Linked DNA regions of Arabidopsis thaliana. The protein of the gene in region 1 interacts with the protein of each later gene in a biochemical or structural test. Each region holds a gene or a part of one and is shown in the gene's direction. Other genes may lie near its edges. The genes, in order: MYC3, TIFY10B, JAZ11 and JAZ5.

What was found.
Region 2: the proteins of MYC3 (region 1) and TIFY10B form a complex in vitro, tested with the Arabidopsis thaliana proteins (one study listed by BioGRID).
Region 3: the proteins of MYC3 (region 1) and JAZ11 form a complex in vitro, tested with the Arabidopsis thaliana proteins (one study listed by BioGRID).
Region 4: the proteins of MYC3 (region 1) and JAZ5 form a complex in vitro, tested with the Arabidopsis thaliana proteins (one study listed by BioGRID).

What each region holds. Positions count from the first base shown.
Region 1 is NC_003076.8:18,972,267-18,977,147, forward strand, and holds MYC3 (Basic helix-loop-helix (bHLH) DNA-binding family protein), read left to right. Parts: upstream 1-1,755; 5' UTR 1,756-1,964; coding exon 1,965-3,743; 3' UTR 3,744-4,324; downstream 4,325-4,881. UniProt on the Arabidopsis thaliana protein: Transcription factor involved in tryptophan, jasmonic acid (JA) and other stress-responsive gene regulation. With MYC2 and MYC4, controls additively subsets of JA-dependent responses.
Region 2 is NC_003070.9:28,148,053-28,152,220, reverse strand, and holds TIFY10B (TIFY domain/Divergent CCT motif family protein), read left to right. Parts: upstream 1-1,774; 5' UTR 1,775-1,962; coding exon 1,963-2,110; intron 2,111-2,429; coding exon 2,430-2,607; intron 2,608-2,699; coding exon 2,700-2,977; intron 2,978-3,064; coding exon 3,065-3,122; coding exon of another isoform or gene 3,123-3,126; exon of another isoform or gene 3,127-3,214; coding exon 3,215-3,302; 3' UTR 3,303-3,646; downstream 3,647-4,168. UniProt on the Arabidopsis thaliana protein: Repressor of jasmonate responses. Jasmonoyl-isoleucine (JA-Ile) specifically promotes COI1-TIFY10B/JAZ2 interaction. Activated by MYC2, MYC3 and MYC4 transcription factors.
Region 3 is NC_003074.8:15,365,794-15,370,658, forward strand, and holds JAZ11 (jasmonate-zim-domain protein 11), read left to right. Parts: upstream 1-1,752; 5' UTR 1,753-1,876; coding exon 1,877-1,983; intron 1,984-2,209; coding exon 2,210-2,294; intron 2,295-2,389; coding exon 2,390-2,492; intron 2,493-2,567; coding exon 2,568-2,625; intron 2,626-3,308; coding exon 3,309-3,405; intron 3,406-3,502; coding exon 3,503-3,635; intron 3,636-3,728; coding exon 3,729-3,786; intron 3,787-3,905; coding exon 3,906-3,981; 3' UTR 3,982-4,364; downstream 4,365-4,865. UniProt on the Arabidopsis thaliana protein: Repressor of jasmonate (JA) responses. Targets MYC2, MYC3 and MYC4 that are JA-dependent transcription activators.
Region 4 is NC_003070.9:5,954,652-5,959,354, reverse strand, and holds JAZ5 (jasmonate-zim-domain protein 5), read left to right. Parts: upstream 1-1,843; 5' UTR 1,844-2,284; coding exon 2,285-2,462; exon of another isoform or gene 2,463-2,676; coding exon of another isoform or gene 2,677-2,767; coding exon 2,768-2,858; intron 2,859-2,978; coding exon 2,979-3,302; coding exon of another isoform or gene 3,303-3,369; exon of another isoform or gene 3,370-3,469; coding exon 3,470-3,701; 3' UTR 3,702-4,200; downstream 4,201-4,703. Other genes in the region: UBP1B (oligouridylate binding protein 1B), read left to right, coding at 4,530-4,634. UniProt on the Arabidopsis thaliana protein: Repressor of jasmonate responses.

The sequences.
Region 1 (4,881 bases):
AAATAATTGTTAAATCCAAAAAATCGACTTGTTATGGAAGTACATTAAGGTATTAAATTAGGTTATCTTCACTAATTCCTCTCGAACCTTTTACTTTCTTTCTTTTTTGATAAAGTAAAACTTTTTACTTGATACAATGTTTCTGTGACATGTAACATGTTTATCAATGTCTTGTAAGAAAACTGGCAAGAAGTAGAGATATTTTATTATGTAATGTCAATAATCATATGTTAGTGTACGATTAGTGGGTCTAAAGTCGTTTTGTAATTACATCATCCACGAGAATCACGTGAGCTGGATCATTTTAGCCATCGTGATTAACCATTGAATATTATTGTACATGTTGTCCTTTTCACTGACTACTTTTCTTCTTCTTTCTTTTTTTTTCTGGATATTTTGTTTATAAGTAATGGTTGGCATTATCATGTGTAGTTCTTTGTCAATAATCATGTGTAACTTTGACAAAAAAATCATATGTAACGTTTTAAAAAATTATATACTTTGGTTGGTCATTATAGTTTTAGCCAAACGATAAAAAATTTGATGAAAAAAATGTGGTTAAAGAAAACTTACAGTATACCGTGACAAAAATATGAAGATTGTTAATAAATAGATATGTCAATTATGGTGACAGAAACATGGAAAGCAGACAGACGATGCCTAGACAGAGGACCCAAACAATTAAAGTGGGCTACACAACATAATTCCAATATTTAAAAAAAGAAAAAAACAATTTAAAATGTCTAAGAAAAAATAAATTCGAATATGAATTTTATAGAGAAAATACAAATTTTATACGTTAATTTCTTCCTCTTTCAAAAATTGAACGGAAGTTGCTATGTTGTTGGATACATTATTATTTGAATATATATTACAAATAATTTTTAGGACTAGCAAATCATTTTTTGAGTTTTCTTTTTATGGTTTTCGTAGTCAACTCCACAACCGATAGTTTTACATCGATGCTTGTACAATTTTACAGTTTGACAGATGGTACTGTACTACGACATACGGTTCTATGCACCACACTAAAATCTCTAGATAGAAATCGTTTCCATTAATCTTCAATAATTTGTAATCTATGAAAATCAAACTTCATATATGGTGTGATGAAGTATTAATGGATATTTAGTTAACCATTACACCAAAAAAAAATTTACACCGGATAATTATTTGAAAACGTAAATTTCATATTAACGGTTCAAACTGATTTTTAATAAAATGAACATAATGAAATGATATTTAAAAAAAAAAGATGATTGGAGAAAGAAAACACTTTTAGTTTTTTCATATATATTTATTTTCCTATAACTAACATAAAATCAGTTGAAATATTATTTTAAATTCCTAACTTAATTGATATAAATTGAGTAGAATCTATTTTTTTCCTTTTAAAAATGCAATTCTTTTTTGCAGTTTAAAATATTAATTTATATGAAAAATAAAATTTATATTTTAGATTTCTAACTTATGAAATTTTGAATTATAGCATTGGTCCATATTCGAAACTCTAAGTCACTATATCACCATAAATGGATTATTTATTAGTTTTTTCTCCATAAAACAATAAGTGGCTATGTGATAATAAACGGATCTAAGTTATGTTTCAGACAAAACAGTGTCCAAACGAGAATTATCACTCCATGAATAATTTATTTACGTTTTCGTAACAGTTAACCAAATTATTATCGTTTGGTTTTTGTCATATAATATGTCGCAACTCTCAACAAAAACTTAAGAAAATAAGAAAAAATTATTTACAATTGTTTTAGAAAAACAATAAAAATAAAATATAGTATTGTAGAGAGAATCATCTTCTCCAAACAATCACTAAACGCCATTTGCTTAGCTTTTTCCCTCTTTTGATTTTTCCTCCCTACACGTCACCTCTCTCTTCTTCTCACCGGAAAAAAGTCTTCACCTTTCACCGGAAAATATCACCTTTTCAACCGGCGTATGTTCACATGAACGGCACAACATCATCAATCAACTTCTTGACCTCCGACGATGACGCGTCGGCGGCGGCTATGGAAGCTTTCATTGGAACAAACCACCACTCATCTCTCTTTCCTCCACCACCACAACAACCACCTCAGCCTCAGTTCAACGAAGATACTCTTCAACAACGTCTCCAAGCTTTAATAGAATCCGCCGGAGAAAACTGGACTTACGCTATCTTCTGGCAGATCTCACACGACTTCGATTCATCCACCGGAGATAACACAGTGATCCTCGGCTGGGGAGATGGTTACTACAAAGGAGAGGAAGATAAAGAGAAGAAGAAGAACAACACCAACACGGCGGAGCAAGAGCATCGGAAAAGAGTAATACGTGAGCTTAACTCGTTAATCTCCGGCGGAATTGGGGTTTCCGATGAATCAAACGATGAAGAAGTAACAGATACTGAATGGTTCTTCTTAGTTTCGATGACTCAAAGCTTCGTTAACGGTGTTGGTCTCCCCGGAGAATCTTTCTTAAACTCTCGTGTGATTTGGTTATCCGGGTCTGGTGCTTTAACCGGGTCGGGTTGTGAAAGAGCGGGTCAAGGTCAGATTTACGGGTTAAAGACGATGGTGTGTATCGCGACTCAAAACGGCGTCGTTGAGCTTGGTTCGTCGGAGGTTATAAGTCAAAGCTCAGATCTGATGCATAAAGTTAACAACTTGTTTAATTTCAACAACGGTGGTGGAAACAATGGTGTTGAAGCTTCTTCGTGGGGTTTTAATCTGAATCCAGATCAAGGAGAGAATGATCCAGCTTTGTGGATTAGTGAACCGACGAACACCGGAATCGAATCTCCGGCGAGGGTTAATAATGGTAATAACTCGAATTCTAATTCTAAGTCTGATTCTCATCAAATTTCTAAGCTTGAGAAGAATGATATTAGCTCTGTAGAGAATCAGAATCGTCAAAGTTCGTGTCTTGTCGAGAAAGATTTGACCTTTCAAGGTGGGTTGTTGAAATCTAATGAGACTTTGAGTTTCTGTGGTAATGAGAGTAGTAAGAAGAGAACTTCGGTATCTAAAGGGAGTAATAATGATGAAGGGATGCTTTCGTTTAGTACTGTGGTTAGATCAGCTGCGAATGATTCGGATCATTCTGATCTTGAAGCATCTGTTGTTAAGGAAGCGATTGTTGTTGAGCCACCGGAGAAGAAGCCGAGGAAACGGGGGAGGAAACCGGCGAATGGGAGAGAAGAGCCGTTGAATCATGTTGAAGCAGAGAGGCAGAGAAGAGAGAAGTTAAACCAGAGATTCTACTCTTTGAGAGCTGTTGTTCCTAACGTTTCGAAGATGGATAAAGCTTCGCTTCTCGGAGACGCGATTTCGTATATCAATGAGCTTAAGTCGAAGCTGCAGCAAGCGGAGTCTGATAAAGAGGAGATTCAGAAGAAGCTAGATGGGATGAGTAAGGAAGGGAATAATGGGAAAGGTTGCGGGTCAAGGGCAAAAGAACGGAAAAGTTCGAATCAAGATTCTACGGCGAGTTCTATAGAAATGGAGATTGATGTTAAGATCATAGGTTGGGATGTGATGATACGTGTACAATGCGGCAAGAAAGATCATCCCGGTGCTAGGTTCATGGAAGCACTTAAGGAATTGGATTTGGAAGTGAATCATGCGAGTTTATCCGTTGTGAATGATTTGATGATTCAACAAGCTACGGTGAAGATGGGGAGCCAATTTTTCAATCATGACCAGCTCAAAGTTGCTTTGATGACGAAAGTCGGAGAAAACTATTGAACAAAGTTGGCATATCAAAGAGGGGAAACTAGTGTTTTCATCGATGAAATGGGATCGAATTTAGCGGGTAATGTATGGTCTTTTGTAAAGTAGTAAGTACTCATTTTGCATCACTCGCTTCATGTTGTTAAATGTTGTTGTTCATTAGGAGAACTTGCTTAGTTCTTAGCTTAGTGTTATCATAAGCCTTAAGTGAGAAGGAAGTTGGAGACTAGAAGACCAGAGAGAGTTAGCGAAATAATAAAATCTTTGGTTGTACTTGTATGTATATATATGTATGGAGTAAGATTAAGTGAGATCCTAAATTCTATTGAAGTTTTTTTATTCTATGATTGAATTTTTTTGTTAGTTTGTAACTTTGTAGTGTACATAAAGGTCCAAATTTATGAACTGTAGTGTACCAAAAAGCTGAGGAAAATAAGTGGTTGTAAATGGGTTTTGCCTAGAGATAGTGCTCTTATCTTTGTAAGGGGGTATGAGGAAACTGTTTATAATGCCAAAAATGTGGAGACATGTGTGATTTGTTTGTAAAAGAAACTAAAAGTTAAACCAAAGATTTGTTAGTTTTAAGTAATGAGTAGGAAGTCTTTTAGTGCCTATCTTATCTTATCTTATGTGTGAGTTTGAGTATATCTCTATGTTTAGAGAGCCGTGTGATCTACCTATGTTTCTTAATTCTTATAGTCTTGTGTACATTAGTAACGACTAGTCTTTAAGTAGTTTAGTAACATATATACCGCAAAAATCAAGATTTTCCGAATATTCTTTTTGGAACTGAGTTTGTAGTATCACAATTTGAATTTAAATCCGAAAATTTGCTAGTAGGTTTAGTCTCAAATTTTTGTTTAAACCAAAATGTGAAGGCATTTGATTTTCTGCAAACATGAAGAACATTTACTGCATAATCAACAATGAAAGTTGCCAATAAGCTACTTTTCTCCACCATTGATGAGTTCTAATTAAAAACCACCAACTTAAGTTTTCATAATAAATTGAAAAATACTTTTCATGTAGTACCATAAAGTTGACCCCTCCTCTTTAAAGGATGTTAGAAAATTATAGCCATCTTTCATCTATCTTAGGTATATGTATATTAAATAGTTGTTCACTCATTCGTTCACACTATAATTTTGTAATG
Region 2 (4,168 bases), on another chromosome or scaffold:
AGAGTTTGTTCAACTACCAAGAGCTAAGCTAAGTTTCTTAGGATCAAGATCTGATGAGCCAAAGACTTGGACAGGAGCTAAAACGTGCTAGAGATATCAGAGTTTGGATTCGCCATTAAAATTCTGTTTCTTGTGATACCTTCTTATTGGAAATCTTTGTAGTCTTTACATTTCTATTGTTTAACATGAAATCTCAAAAAATGCCAAATCAATTCTCAATTTTAAATTTAGTAGCTCTTGACAGTTTTCCCTTTGTTAATTACATATATAGAGAGTAACTAAATCATCTTTTGAAAGGTAAAAACTAAAAAAATATATTCCAAGGGCCCAATGTTTTACCACTTTCATATGTAAGCTTATTTTCTGTTAAATATGTGAAAGAAAGAAGAGGAATGAATCAGCTGTGAAAACCAAGAGCAAGTATAAAAACATGGCTAAAAGGGTATCAATCAGCCTTGTATAAGAGAGCCATAAGTAGATAAAGTTTCTACAGTAAAAACAGGAATATAGAGTACTATTCCTTAATTAGCTTATGTTCTTCTATTCTTCTTGTGACCTCTATCTTGCATTTTTGTGACCACCCCACTTGCCTTCTTCTTTTTGGTTGCATACTCTAAATAATATCCAGACTTTGATGTCTTTATGCGCTCTGGGTTCTTCTTGTGACCCCTCTTCCTTGTAATTGTATGTACCTGCAGCTTCTTCTGATTTTGTTTCTTATGGATATGTTTGTGATGTATAAAATTTTGTGAAGATGTTTATAAAACAGTTAAAAACCAAATTAACCAATCATCCTTATTTTCTCACGAGCCACTCTATGAACCTTACGTTATCTCGATGTACCTGTAATGAGTTAGCAATTACTACAATCCAAGTCAATAAAATAACAAGTTGGACGTTACGTTATAAAAGAAAATCAAACTTATTTGTGTGTTCCTAACAAACGCATGGGATAATAACAAGAGAATAAAAGACAGAGTGATAGGATCAACGGCTATTGTGCGTAGGAGAACACAGCTGCTATATAAGCCGCGTAACAGGTGATTACTCTGACTACGACACCAACAAGAAAAATTCTCTCAAATGTGGGCAGTTAAGTTAGACACGTGTAAGGTCGCGATTCATGGAGGAGACGTGCTCTTCCCGCTTTTTGTAATTATTTATTACTGTTGTCATAAATAAAACACTAAAAAAAAATTAATAAAAGGGAAAATACAAAACGTGATTTATGGATCAAATTTGCATTGGTGGTGGAGTTTTGGTTATGTAAGACCCACACCGTGTTCCCTCTATCTAACGCCGTTAATCCTCTTTTTTCCCCCAAATCATACCGTTAATTCTCTTTGAGTGCTAAAATATCACGCCGGTCTATGAGATTAAAATAGTAGACTAATTAATAGTGCTAAAAATACATAAATTAATGCCAAGAGATTCATCTTAAAAAAAAGGATATATGAACCAACTAAATGGTATAACTGAAAGACTATCATAATCAAATTTCATCTGAACATTGATTTGTTTGAACTAATTAATTTTAGGATTTTACGTTTTCATAATTTTTTATTTTATTTGAACATCTTGTAAGGGTAAAATGGTAAAAACAGGAGTAGTAAGAGGGTGAAATGGTTATTTCAAGTGTGAAGCGTGGGGACGTGGGTGACGGTGGTGATCTGAAACAGTGGTCTGCCGTTAAAACATTAAATTAAAACACGTGTTTTAAATGTCTCTATGTTAATTAATACTATAAGAGTATATTTTACTAATTTCCGTATCTGCAACCAGCGAAAAAAAAGTAATAAAGAGGTCCTCCATTTCTTCCTCGTGACAAAACGCACTTGGCAGAGAAAGATAAACAAGAACCCTAAGTTTTTTTATAAGATTCGAGAAAATTCAACAACTCAGGAAGGAAGATCCTTTTGCTCCAATTTCTCAATCGAAACGATTTCAATTTCGGTTTCAACGATGTCGAGTTTTTCTGCCGAGTGTTGGGACTTCTCTGGTCGTAAACCGAGCTTTTCACAAACATGTACTCGATTGAGTCGTTACCTGAAGGAGAAGGGTAGTTTTGGAGATCTGAGCTTAGGGATGACATGCAAGCCCGACGTTAATGGTAATCAACCTTTCTCTTTTAGATCTGTTCATTTCGTTTCTGCGAATTTTGAGTTTCCTGTTGCGAATTACGAATTATGAATCGATTACATGTTGTCTGGAAATTGAATCGTTGTAGAGAATCGATGATTAATGGATTTTGAATCAATTTCTATATATGTATGTATGTGTATGAATTTGTGGAGATGGTTCTGTGTTTGGTTTAAGCATAATCCTCTAAAGCCATAGGCCTGGTTTAGTCATTAAGTAGATTTTGTTTTGCAGTTGTTTGAGAGATTGGTGAATGATAATAATCTTTACTTTTGGATCAATTTTCGCAGGAGGTTCACGTCAGCCTACAATGATGAATCTGTTCCCTTGTGAAGCTTCAGGAATGGATTCTTCTGCTGGTCAAGAAGACATTAAACCGAAGACTATGTTTCCGAGACAATCAAGCTTTTCTTCTTCCTCTTCCTCTGGGACCAAAGAAGATGTACAGATGATCAAAGAGACTACTAAGTATGTGTTTATATGTATATAGTGAAAAGAATCGTCTCATATAGTAAGCTATGTTTCATCAGTTTAACTAATTTTTGTGTGATTTTGAACAGATCTGTGAAGCCAGAGTCTCAATCTGCTCCGTTGACTATATTCTACGGTGGTCGAGTTATGGTGTTTGATGATTTTTCTGCTGAGAAAGCTAAAGAAGTCATTGATTTGGCTAACAAAGGAAGTGCCAAAAGCTTCACATGTTTCACAGCTGAAGTAAACAATAACCATAGTGCTTATTCTCAAAAAGAGATTGCTTCTAGCCCAAATCCTGTTTGTAGTCCTGCAAAAACCGCAGCACAAGAGCCAATTCAGCCTAACCCGGCCTCTTTAGCCTGCGGTAATTGATCTCAGCCTCTTTTGGTTCAACCATCTCTGAGCTTGGCTTAGTCCTATTTCTCTAACTTTCTCTCTTTTTGATTTGTAGAACTCCCGATTGCAAGAAGAGCTTCACTTCATCGGTTCCTTGAGAAGAGGAAGGATAGGTAATGCATTTTAATGAAAACATAATATCTTGTTATTCCATAAGTTCTTGTTAAGCGAATTTCTCAATATCCTACTCGTAAACCTTTAACAGGATCACATCAAAGGCACCATACCAAATAGACGGTTCAGCTGAAGCGTCTTCCAAGCCTACTAACCCAGCTTGGCTCAGTTCACGGTAAACTTCGAGCCTGTCCGACCCAGAAGGCACAACTTGAGAGACCTTCTTGTAAGATTCTTCTGATGCTCCATCGTTACAAATATCAAGCTGCTCCTCTGTTCATTTTTTCTATAGATTAATTTCACCCCTAGTAGTTTTGTTTGTTTAACTCCCCCGAAAACTCATTATATTTGTATGAAATCAATATCAATAGTGTTCAATGTTTGCTTCTGGGGTTTAAGTTTTAGCCAGTGTGTATAACCCTTTCCTCTGCCGATCTCAACATTAGCTTGCAACTTTTGTAAGAAACATCACTTGTGTTTTTGTGTTGATGGCCATTAATATAATCCAAGTTTATTTAATCCGATTGTTTGTTCGTCACTTATTGAGAGCTGAAGCTTACAGTTAAGGAACAGAAATACTTAAAGCATTCTCGAAAATAAAGAAATGTCTAAAAAATGATGATTTTCTATCAAGTATTGTCGTGTGAAAGATTTTCTTTAACAAGTCTGCTATTGTTCAAAATACGTTTTAACCTATCTATCCATTATAGTATTAGCATTTTCGTTTTGTTGTTAAATACATGGCACAAACTATGTAGACTATTTTTGGTTAAAATACCAAGCCAGTTACAATTTTGTTTTTCCCAAAATACTAGTTATAACTTTGTAAAATATCCGAAGTCCATAATAAAAAGAGCTTCATAAATATCCAATAAGTGGAGTAGATCAGACCAGGCTTGGTAGGCCACGGGAATTCTGACCCACGATAACTTTTTTTCGTTCGGTCTTGAACAATGATTTGTTCGGTCTTGAACAATGATCATCCAACTAACAAAACGTAAATTTGGTCCAAAGACTGGTCCGAAATTCGTTATGATTAATAAGC
Region 3 (4,865 bases), on another chromosome or scaffold:
TCTAAAAAATCTTAGAGAAAAGGGAAAGTTTTCTCTTTTGTTTCGCTGGCCTGATGGCATTCCGACGTTTATGTGTTTTAATATAGTTGGGTTTTATATCTAACATCTCTGTCGTTTTTAGCAGTGATGGCTGGCTCTTGCCTGACAGCGTTCGAATTCCATGACCATCGTTGGCCGGATCTACTTTTCTTATCAGTGTATCTGATGTTTTTTTTTTTTTTTTTCTTTCAATAATCTCATAGATCCTCTATTGGAAATTTAGGTGTTTTTTTGCTTAAAGGTGTTTATTATCCAATTTGATCTTTTGAGTTTGCGATTTGCAGGAATCAATCCAAAGAGTTACATCTTAAGTTGCAGAAAAGAAAACAATTTCATTGCACACTAATATTGCTTTTAGCTGTAAATCTCTATTTTGATGTTCGATTGGTTTATGAACAATGAAACCTAGAAGAATCAAGCTTGCTTTTATAATCAATGATGATTTTTCTCACTGGAATCGATCTCAGATGGCGAATGATCTACAATTGAGGCTATTTGTCTAATTGATCTATGGACACGAGTGTTTTCCTTTTTGTTTTTAGGTGTTGCTGAAAAGCTCCATCGGCTTAATATCTACGTTGATGTTCTTTGGAGTTCGGGAGTCATTGCCCTTGTGAAGATCTTTTCTTTACAGATTTGATGATGTAGTTGGTAGGATTCTCTAGTTAAAAACCTGTGGACTTATTTCTTGAAGCTCTGACGGTTTTCGGTAGTTTTGGAGTTCCCTTACGCTTCGTACCATATCGGCTATGAGCGGCGAACGGCGACAACATCTACTTCAACTTTACTTCATAGGCTCACACATGGTTTTGTGTTGGATTTGTTATATTTCTTAGTTCCTTAAAGGGGTATCTTTATGGATTGGACTTTTTAAGTTGGGTCTCCGCTTATAAGCTGAATTGTTGGTGAAGTGGAAGCTTCCACTGTTGTACCTTTTACGACATAGAGTTTTAAATAGAAGAGAAAATTCCCAAAAAAAACTTCAACTATTAAAATTTGCCAAAAAAACCTCAACTTTTTCGGTTGTCAAAAAACTCAAACTAATTTATTAGTGACAAATAAAACCCAAACTAGAAATATTGGCAGATTATACATACGCTCTAAAAACAAATTATAGTTTTATCCTTAAAAAATTAATTCTTTTTTTTTTGAAACGAAAAGAAATTTCTTATTTACTTTGTATTTTTTTAGTTTATACGTTTTTGCCTTTTTGGAAATTATCATAGAAAAATGATATGAGTGTCTCATTTTTAATTCTCTTTTCATATATTTTTACTTTTTAGATTTTCAAACTTTAAAAACCAAATCGTTTCTCTATTTCTTTTTTTTTTGCTTATTTCTTTCTAATTTTTGGTTCCTCAATATCAAAATGATTCAATGTTCTTCGACTAATTTACATATTTTGATTTTTTCATCATAATTATATAGTTAGCTTTGTGTTAATATATCTTATTTAATTTATTTTAGCAATACGATAACGGCGGTATGCATGTACTAAAAAGGATGCGTAAAGAGTATTAAGTTTTTCACATCGAACAAAATTGTCCACTATTTTATTTTTTTAAATAGTTGTCTATATTACAAGAACAAATGAAAATAAATAGGTATTATTAGATAAGTAGTTTTTTTTTTTGGTAAGGCATTATTACTTATTAGATAAGTAGTTAGATATATAAAATAATCAAATAGTTGAGGTTTTTTTGGAATATTTCTGAGAAAAACAAAAAGAAAACAAAATTGATTGAATAATGAATACACCGAATAACGAACGTTGCGTAGAGAAGAGAACCAATTCCCAATCAAACGGAGAAGACAGATATTATTCACAGAGAGGCTCATGGCTGAGGTAAACGGAGATTTCCCCGTTCCTAGTTTCGCCGACGGGACCGGTTCTGTTTCCGCCGGACTTGACTTGCTCGTTGAGAGATCGATTCACGAAGCTAGGTATGTATCACTAGTAACTGGAATCAATTTGAATCGTTAATTCTCATTTCTCTTTATCTGTCTTTGTGTTTGAAGTTTTTTCTTAGCCTATAGTTCTGTGATTTGTTAGTTCTTAGTACACTATAGGAGCGTGAGCAATTGACGAGACTTGGATCTATATGAATTGTTAAATTAGCAGATCAATTTGGGAAACTCAAGAGGTTTAATTTCAAACTCTTGTTTCAAGGTCCACAGAGCCAGATGCTTCAACTCAACTTACTATTATCTTTGGTGGGAGTTGTAGAGTCTTCAATGGTGTCCCTGCACAAAAGGTTTGGTCCATCTAGCTTTGAGTACATACATTCTGATTTTGTTTATGTTGGTTGCATCAGAGTTTCTAATTGTATTGGTGATCAATGCTTAATAGGTTCAAGAAATCATTCGCATCGCTTTTGCTGGTAAACAGACGAAGAATGTGACCGGTATCAATCCAGCACTGAACAGAGCTCTTTCTTTCTCAACTGTAGCTGGTAAGCAATTGCTTCATTCGGTTACTGTAAGCATTATCTACGGAGTTACGGACTATTAATCCCTGTTTGTCTCAGATCTTCCAATTGCTAGGAGACGTTCGCTTCAAAGATTTCTCGAGAAGAGACGGGACAGGTAGTTAGATATTCAGTGTTTGCTTTATTAACATATTGATAGTTCTGGAAGTGTTAGTGTGTATGAATCTGATTTGTTAGTATGTATTAGTTTGTGACGTCAAATATTGTTCTTGCATTTAGGAATTTTCATGTGTAGGTAGGTTGTTGAAGCTTAAGCAAATGAAGAGACTGGATCTATGTGAATGTTAATTTGTATACATTGACTGGTTTCGGAAACTGAGATAGTCTTTTAGTTTTTTTTCTTACAAGTGTTTAAGCTTTTATTCTCATGTATTATTCTACTTCTATATCATATTTGGCTGACTTATGGCCACCAGATAATTGTGTATTTCTTAGTGATCATGCCTCACAAATACATTAGATGTTGTTGCCCATTCTTTAGTATCGGTTTTATGAGCTTGAATTTGAACTAGGCTTGTGTGTTTGATTTTGGTACCGTTGAATGCAAAAATAGCCTTCTATCTACTGTTAGATGACATCATCAGATGATTTAAATTTAGTAGGTTGTTTGAACTGATGTATTGATGGGACTGAGGTTAGTTGATAGCCTAAGCGGCTGTAATATTGTAGTGGAATCACTATTTTGTTCTTCTCCCTTTTGCATCAATAGGGTCTTAAAATTTGGGTGGATTATTATTATCTTCCATCATTCATAACTAGCTCTTGTTTCTTCTATTGAAGGTCCACGAAGCCAGATGGTTCAATGATCCTTCCAAGTCAACTAACCATTATTTTTGGTGGGAGTTTTAGCGTATTTGATGGTATTCCAGCTGAAAAGGTTTGGTCCATCCAAGTTTTGAGTACATTCGTATTTCGTTTTTGTTGGGAAGCAGTTGCATGAGATTTCTTGTTCTCTTGGTGATCACACTTAATAGGTTCAAGAAATTCTGCATATCGCTGCTGCAGCTAAAGCCACTGAGACAATTAATTTGACCAGTATAAATCCAGCATTAAAGAGAGCTATTTCATTCTCAAACGCATCAACAGTAGCTTGCGTATCGACAGCAGGTAAGGACTTGCTACATTGGATTACCGTAAACGTTATATAGTCCGAGTATGGAAAACCCCATGAGCTTTATGTAAGATGCATGTTTATCTCAGATGTGCCAATTGCTAGGAGACGTTCACTTCAAAGATTTTTTGAGAAAAGACGGCATCGGTAGGCATATCTGCAGTGCTTGTTTTATAAACATATACTCTCATCTTTCTCCATCACTCACCTATGAGTTTGACCATTAGATTTCATCTAATAGTAACTTGGACCCTCTTTATTTTCAGATTTGTCCACACGAAGCCTTACTCTGCTACGACTTCGGAAGCAGACAAAAATGAAACCAGCCCCATTGTGACATGAGCTCCAAGACTGTAAGCTAACCTCAAACCTTACTTTCGAAGCAACTCAGTATCACAGTTATCTTTGACAAGATTAACACAGCTCATATATAAGCCTTCCGTTGTTGTACGATAATCATCTGCCTATGTTTCTTAGACAAAACACAAAATTGTTTTCCATGTTTGTGATTTGATGTGTTTATCATCTCGCACCTCCTCTTTGAGGAAGATGATTTCTTTTTCTTCACAATGTATGTTGATGCTGTATGATAAGGTCTCAGAGCTATATAAGAACACAAGAGTACTCAAAAATGACCATGAAAGACTTAGTGTCCTTATAAGCAAATCACGACCAAGAAACATACAGAGAAATCATCAAATACTAACCGGAGAGATTAGTAGGGACCTCAGATCAAAATTTTCAGGTCTGGTTAGGCATGTGATTATTACCAGAACCAAAATTTTCAAACCAAGCCAATCCAGTTTTTGGTCATTTCAATTTAGGGTCGGTCACTAAAAGTGAACAGGTCGGCATAATTTTTTAGTACATATATTTAACATGTGCCCAAGTTATGACAAACGATGAAACATAACATATTTATTATAAATGATTTATACATCATAACTCATAAAAACATCAAAATTATGAAATATTTTGGTAGCGCTACCATAACCACTCAATCATCCGACTGAAATCATCAAAATAAAAAAATATTTTCTAACTTTTTTTATATTTACATAAATATATCTACAAAATGATCCCGTATAAACTTGTAATAAATTATATATGTGCATTTTTCAAGACCAAATCTCTAAGATCAAAGACTAATGCTACCACATCATTCAACGAAACAATGCAAATAAATTTTGGGATAACTTTAACTTTGATCATCTTTTAAAGTATTT
Region 4 (4,703 bases), on another chromosome or scaffold:
CGTTACGGTAACATCTTTGGCGAGAACAAGAAGTGTCGGGATCGGGTTCGTTTTATTAAGGATCGTGCGTTGGATGTTTGGAAGGCGCATGTGCACAAAATGGGAGTGACGACGCGGACAGCTAGGGAGGAGAGATTGATTGCGTGGTCTCCGCCAAGGGTGGGTTGGTTTAAGCTCAATACTGATGGTGCTTCGCGTGGTAACCCGAGACTAGCTACAGCAGGTGGAGTAGTTCGAGACGGGGATGGAAATTGGTGTTATGGGTTTTCGTTGAATATTGGAATTTGTTCGGCTCCGCTTGCGGAACTATGGGGAGCATATTACGGTTTAAATATCGCTTGGGAGCGCGGTGTCACACAGTTGGAGATGGAGATTGATTCGGAGATGGTAGTGGGTTTTCTTCGGACAGGGATTGATGATTCGCATCCGCTGTCCTTCCTGGTGCGGTTGTGCCATGGCTTACTTTCAAAGGACTGGTCAGTCCGGATTTCGCATGTGTATAGAGAAGCTAATCGTCTCGCGGATGGGTTAGCTAACTATGCTTTTTTTTTACCGTTAGGTTTTCATTTGTTTAATTCTACTCCGGATATTGTTATGTCGATTGTTCACGATGATGTAGCGGGGTCTGCGTACCCCCGGAACGTTCAAGTGTAATTTTTTTAGTTTTTTCAGTTTTAATAAAAATGGGGGTTCGCCCCCCTCTTCTACAAAAAAAAATATCACTTTCAAAAGGACCCATTCGCTACCCAATTTTTCTAAACCCCAGAACGTTTTTTTTTTTTCCAAAACACAACAGCCACTTGGTCTTTGCAACAATGCAAGTAGTGTAGTGGCGTAGCTAGGGGTAACGAGTTACCAAACCGGTTTGACAATCTGGTTCGATCAATTGGCCGATCACTCGGTTTGCTCTAATCTTGCTTCATTTAGTCCCATCAACAACACTTATTAAACTAAGTCACATCTAAACTTTTTATATCTTTGGTATCATTTTCCCCGAACACGTTTTTTTGAACGAGTCGTAGTTTTGAAGCAACCAACGAACGTATTGATTATTATGGGCATCCGTGAAAGGGGCAGTTCGGTCAATTGATCCATCAATTTTATTTTTGACCAAACTGATTAGGTGATCTTAAGATTTTTCCTTTTTTCTTTCTATAGGAAAGTGGGAAAAACGCGATTCACACGATACTGTTGCTAGTGCGTCGTACAGATTGCGATACGTGTCACAATCTTGACGGTCTGTTCTATTTAAACCACGTGTTTTAATCAAAAAACTTCTGTCGGATCGTATCGGAGACTTTGAATTTTTATGGCACATGAAACTTCGTAGGGGTTTGATGGTAGGATCCCACATTGGTCCACTTACTATTCAATTCGCACCGCCGTTAAGTTTGTTAACTAACGTGAGGAACGTCGCGGTGATGTAAAAAAAGGCCATGAAAGTTGTTTCTATTACGATGATGCCATCACTGGAGTTGGTAATGTGCTCTTGTGGAAGGGCAAATTTTGTAAATACGATCAAATTTCGAGTCTTTTACGAATTTGTGACATACGCCGTTTAATAACGTTTGCCGTCGGTTCTGAAATCTTTATTCTTTTTCTCTTTTATCGTTACGCGTAAGGAAAACGTGCGGTAAATTCTAACCGAAAATATATATAAAAAAGTAGTCCAATTTTGAAATCTGGCCGTTGATGGTAGACAACTAAACTGTGCCAAACAAGAAACAAGAGGTGAACATATTTTTATGATAAGACAGGGCAATAAATTTGTTGTACCAACTCATAAAACAATAGATAAATTACTTGCACAATGATGGATTATTAACATTAATTTTCTTACTATTAATCATGGATGAAAATTCCTTTCTTCACACTAGATATAGTTCTTTAACTAGTTAAAAATGCATGCGATGGAATATTACTAAATATGATATAATCTCATGGCTTTATGTAAGATTTGTTTTTTGGTTTTTTTGGTTGTTGTTAATAAATTTATTATTGAGAAGTTTAATTCTATTTTGGTCACAATATATTGAAATATTTTTAAGAAACTAAAAAGTTCCTATTTATTTTTGTTTTCATTAATTTATGAGAGGCTATTAAAGTCACAGAAACTTATTGGGTGAATGAGTTTATAAACACATGAGCTATTGAGCTAGTAGCCTCTTGTACTCTTCCATTTTACGCGCAATCCACGCACCAACAAAAAGAAAAGAAAAGAAGAGATAAAGAATATCTTTAAAAAGTAAGTGTGGAGAATTCTTTCTTCTCAATAAACAACAACATGTCGTCGAGCAATGAAAATGCTAAGGCACAAGCGCCGGAGAAATCTGACTTTACCCGGAGATGTAGTTTGCTCAGCCGTTACTTGAAGGAGAAGGGTAGTTTCGGAAACATTGATCTTGGCTTATACCGAAAACCCGATTCCAGTCTCGCGTTGCCCGGAAAATTCGATCCACCAGGTACTTTTATTATCTCTTTCTTCTTTCATGGCCGCCACTTGGTAATAGTACTTTAAAAACTCAGTTCTGTTACTACTTGCTTTTGCCAGATTTACTACTTTTGTATTGTTTCTTCATTTGTAAGTCAGTTCCTTACTTCAGAAATAATTTCTCCTTGTAATTATGAAGACAAGTAACAAAAATAACGAATAAGTTGATATAGAAATTGATTGAGATGTGGTTAATAAAATTCCAAAGATATAAGATGCTATATCATTTTTCTAAAGTTATTATAGTTCACGAAAGTTTTTATTCTCTTTATGCAGGGAAACAAAATGCGATGCATAAGGCAGGGCATTCCAAAGGCGAACCCTCTACCTCATCAGGAGGCAAAGTCAAAGATGTTGCTGACCTCAGGTCTCTCCTTTTGTTCCTTGGGAATACTTGTTGTTTTTGGTTATTGGAGATTAGAGAAAAGGATAATCGGTTAATCCGGTTAAAATTGGTTTTGTTCTGAAATCTGTTTTTGGTTTGCAGTGAATCACAGCCAGGAAGTTCGCAGCTGACCATATTCTTCGGAGGGAAAGTTTTAGTATATAATGAGTTCCCCGTAGACAAAGCTAAAGAGATTATGGAAGTAGCAAAACAAGCCAAGCCTGTGACTGAGATTAACATTCAGACACCAATCAATGACGAAAACAACAACAACAAGAGCAGCATGGTTCTTCCTGATCTCAATGAGCCTACTGATAATAATCACCTAACAAAGGAACAACAACAGCAACAAGAACAAAATCAGATCGTGGAACGTATAGCACGTAGAGCTTCCCTCCATCGATTCTTTGCTAAACGGAAAGACAGGTATTTAACCTTATCATACTTTTTGAAACTTGTTTTAATGTTCCAAATTTCCAATCACTCTAGTTAGTTCAAAACTCAAAAGTTTAAGGATCCTCCCTCTGATATAAGTTCTCCTAAATTATCCTCAACAAGCCTCGTAATTTACGTTATTAATTTTTCTGTTGCAGAGCTGTGGCTAGGGCTCCGTACCAAGTTAACCAAAACGCAGGTCATCATCGTTATCCTCCCAAGCCAGAGATTGTAACCGGTCAACCACTAGAGGCAGGACAGTCGTCACAAAGACCGCCGGATAACGCCATTGGTCAAACCATGGCCCATATCAAATCAGACGGTGATAAAGATGATATTATGAAGATTGAAGAAGGCCAAAGTTCGAAAGATCTCGATCTAAGGCTATAGTAATATTTGCTAAATTTCTTGTAGGAACTGAGTTTTTAGATTAACGTTTCGATTTTTCTGACTTATCTAAGTGATTTTATTTTGCTTTGTACTACAGTATGTAATCTTATTCTAACTTGAATATTCATTCATAAACACAATAGACGATAGTAAAGTTATATTATAATTAGTTAACTACGTACAACACTTGGGAGTTAAATTACATAACGTTAAGCGAGAAATAGCAAATTAGACAAGAGGAAGAATATTTAGGAGTTGTGAATTGATCTGACTGCAATAACATGAAGAGGAATCTGACTGCAATCGTAATGCGGGTAAAGATGGTTGAAAGTGATCAGAGCTCCTTTCTAATTTATTTAGGGTGTAATTTATGAAAATGATTATTATTGGAGTGTATATCAAGTTTTCACTAAACTCAGGGGTGTTTATTGTAATTAGTTGTCAGGTTCAAGTTCATTGAAGGCGTGTCTGATTTGGACAGTGATTGGGCCTGAGCCATAAGTTTAACGTGGGACGAGTTCATTGGCTGTTGCTTTTTAAATTTTCTTACAGCCTGTGACTTTAGCTAATCGATGTGTAAAAATAATAAATCCAATAAAATTCGTAAGAGCCACTCGATTGCTTCCTTCGCTTTCTATCAAGAGACTTCCTTTTTTTTTTCCTGTTCTTCATTTTTTTTTTGTTATTAATATTTTGTCATTTTTCTTACATTTTTCTCGAACACCGAAAACACTTTCGAACCCTAAAAGACAGAACACTGTGTCAATTTTCATTACCTGGGAACGAAAAGCAAAATCAAAGACAATAATTTTTTCCCCGAGAGAGAAAATGCAGAGGTTGAAGCAGCAGCAGCAGCAGCAACAAGTTATGATGCAGCAAGCTCTTATGCAGCAACAGTCTCTCTACCATCCTGGTCTCCTTGCCCCGCCACAGGTTTGCTCTATTCTTCTTCCATTTCCATGCTCGATTTGGGTTTCTAGGCTCTTTTTCCCAAGCTCGATT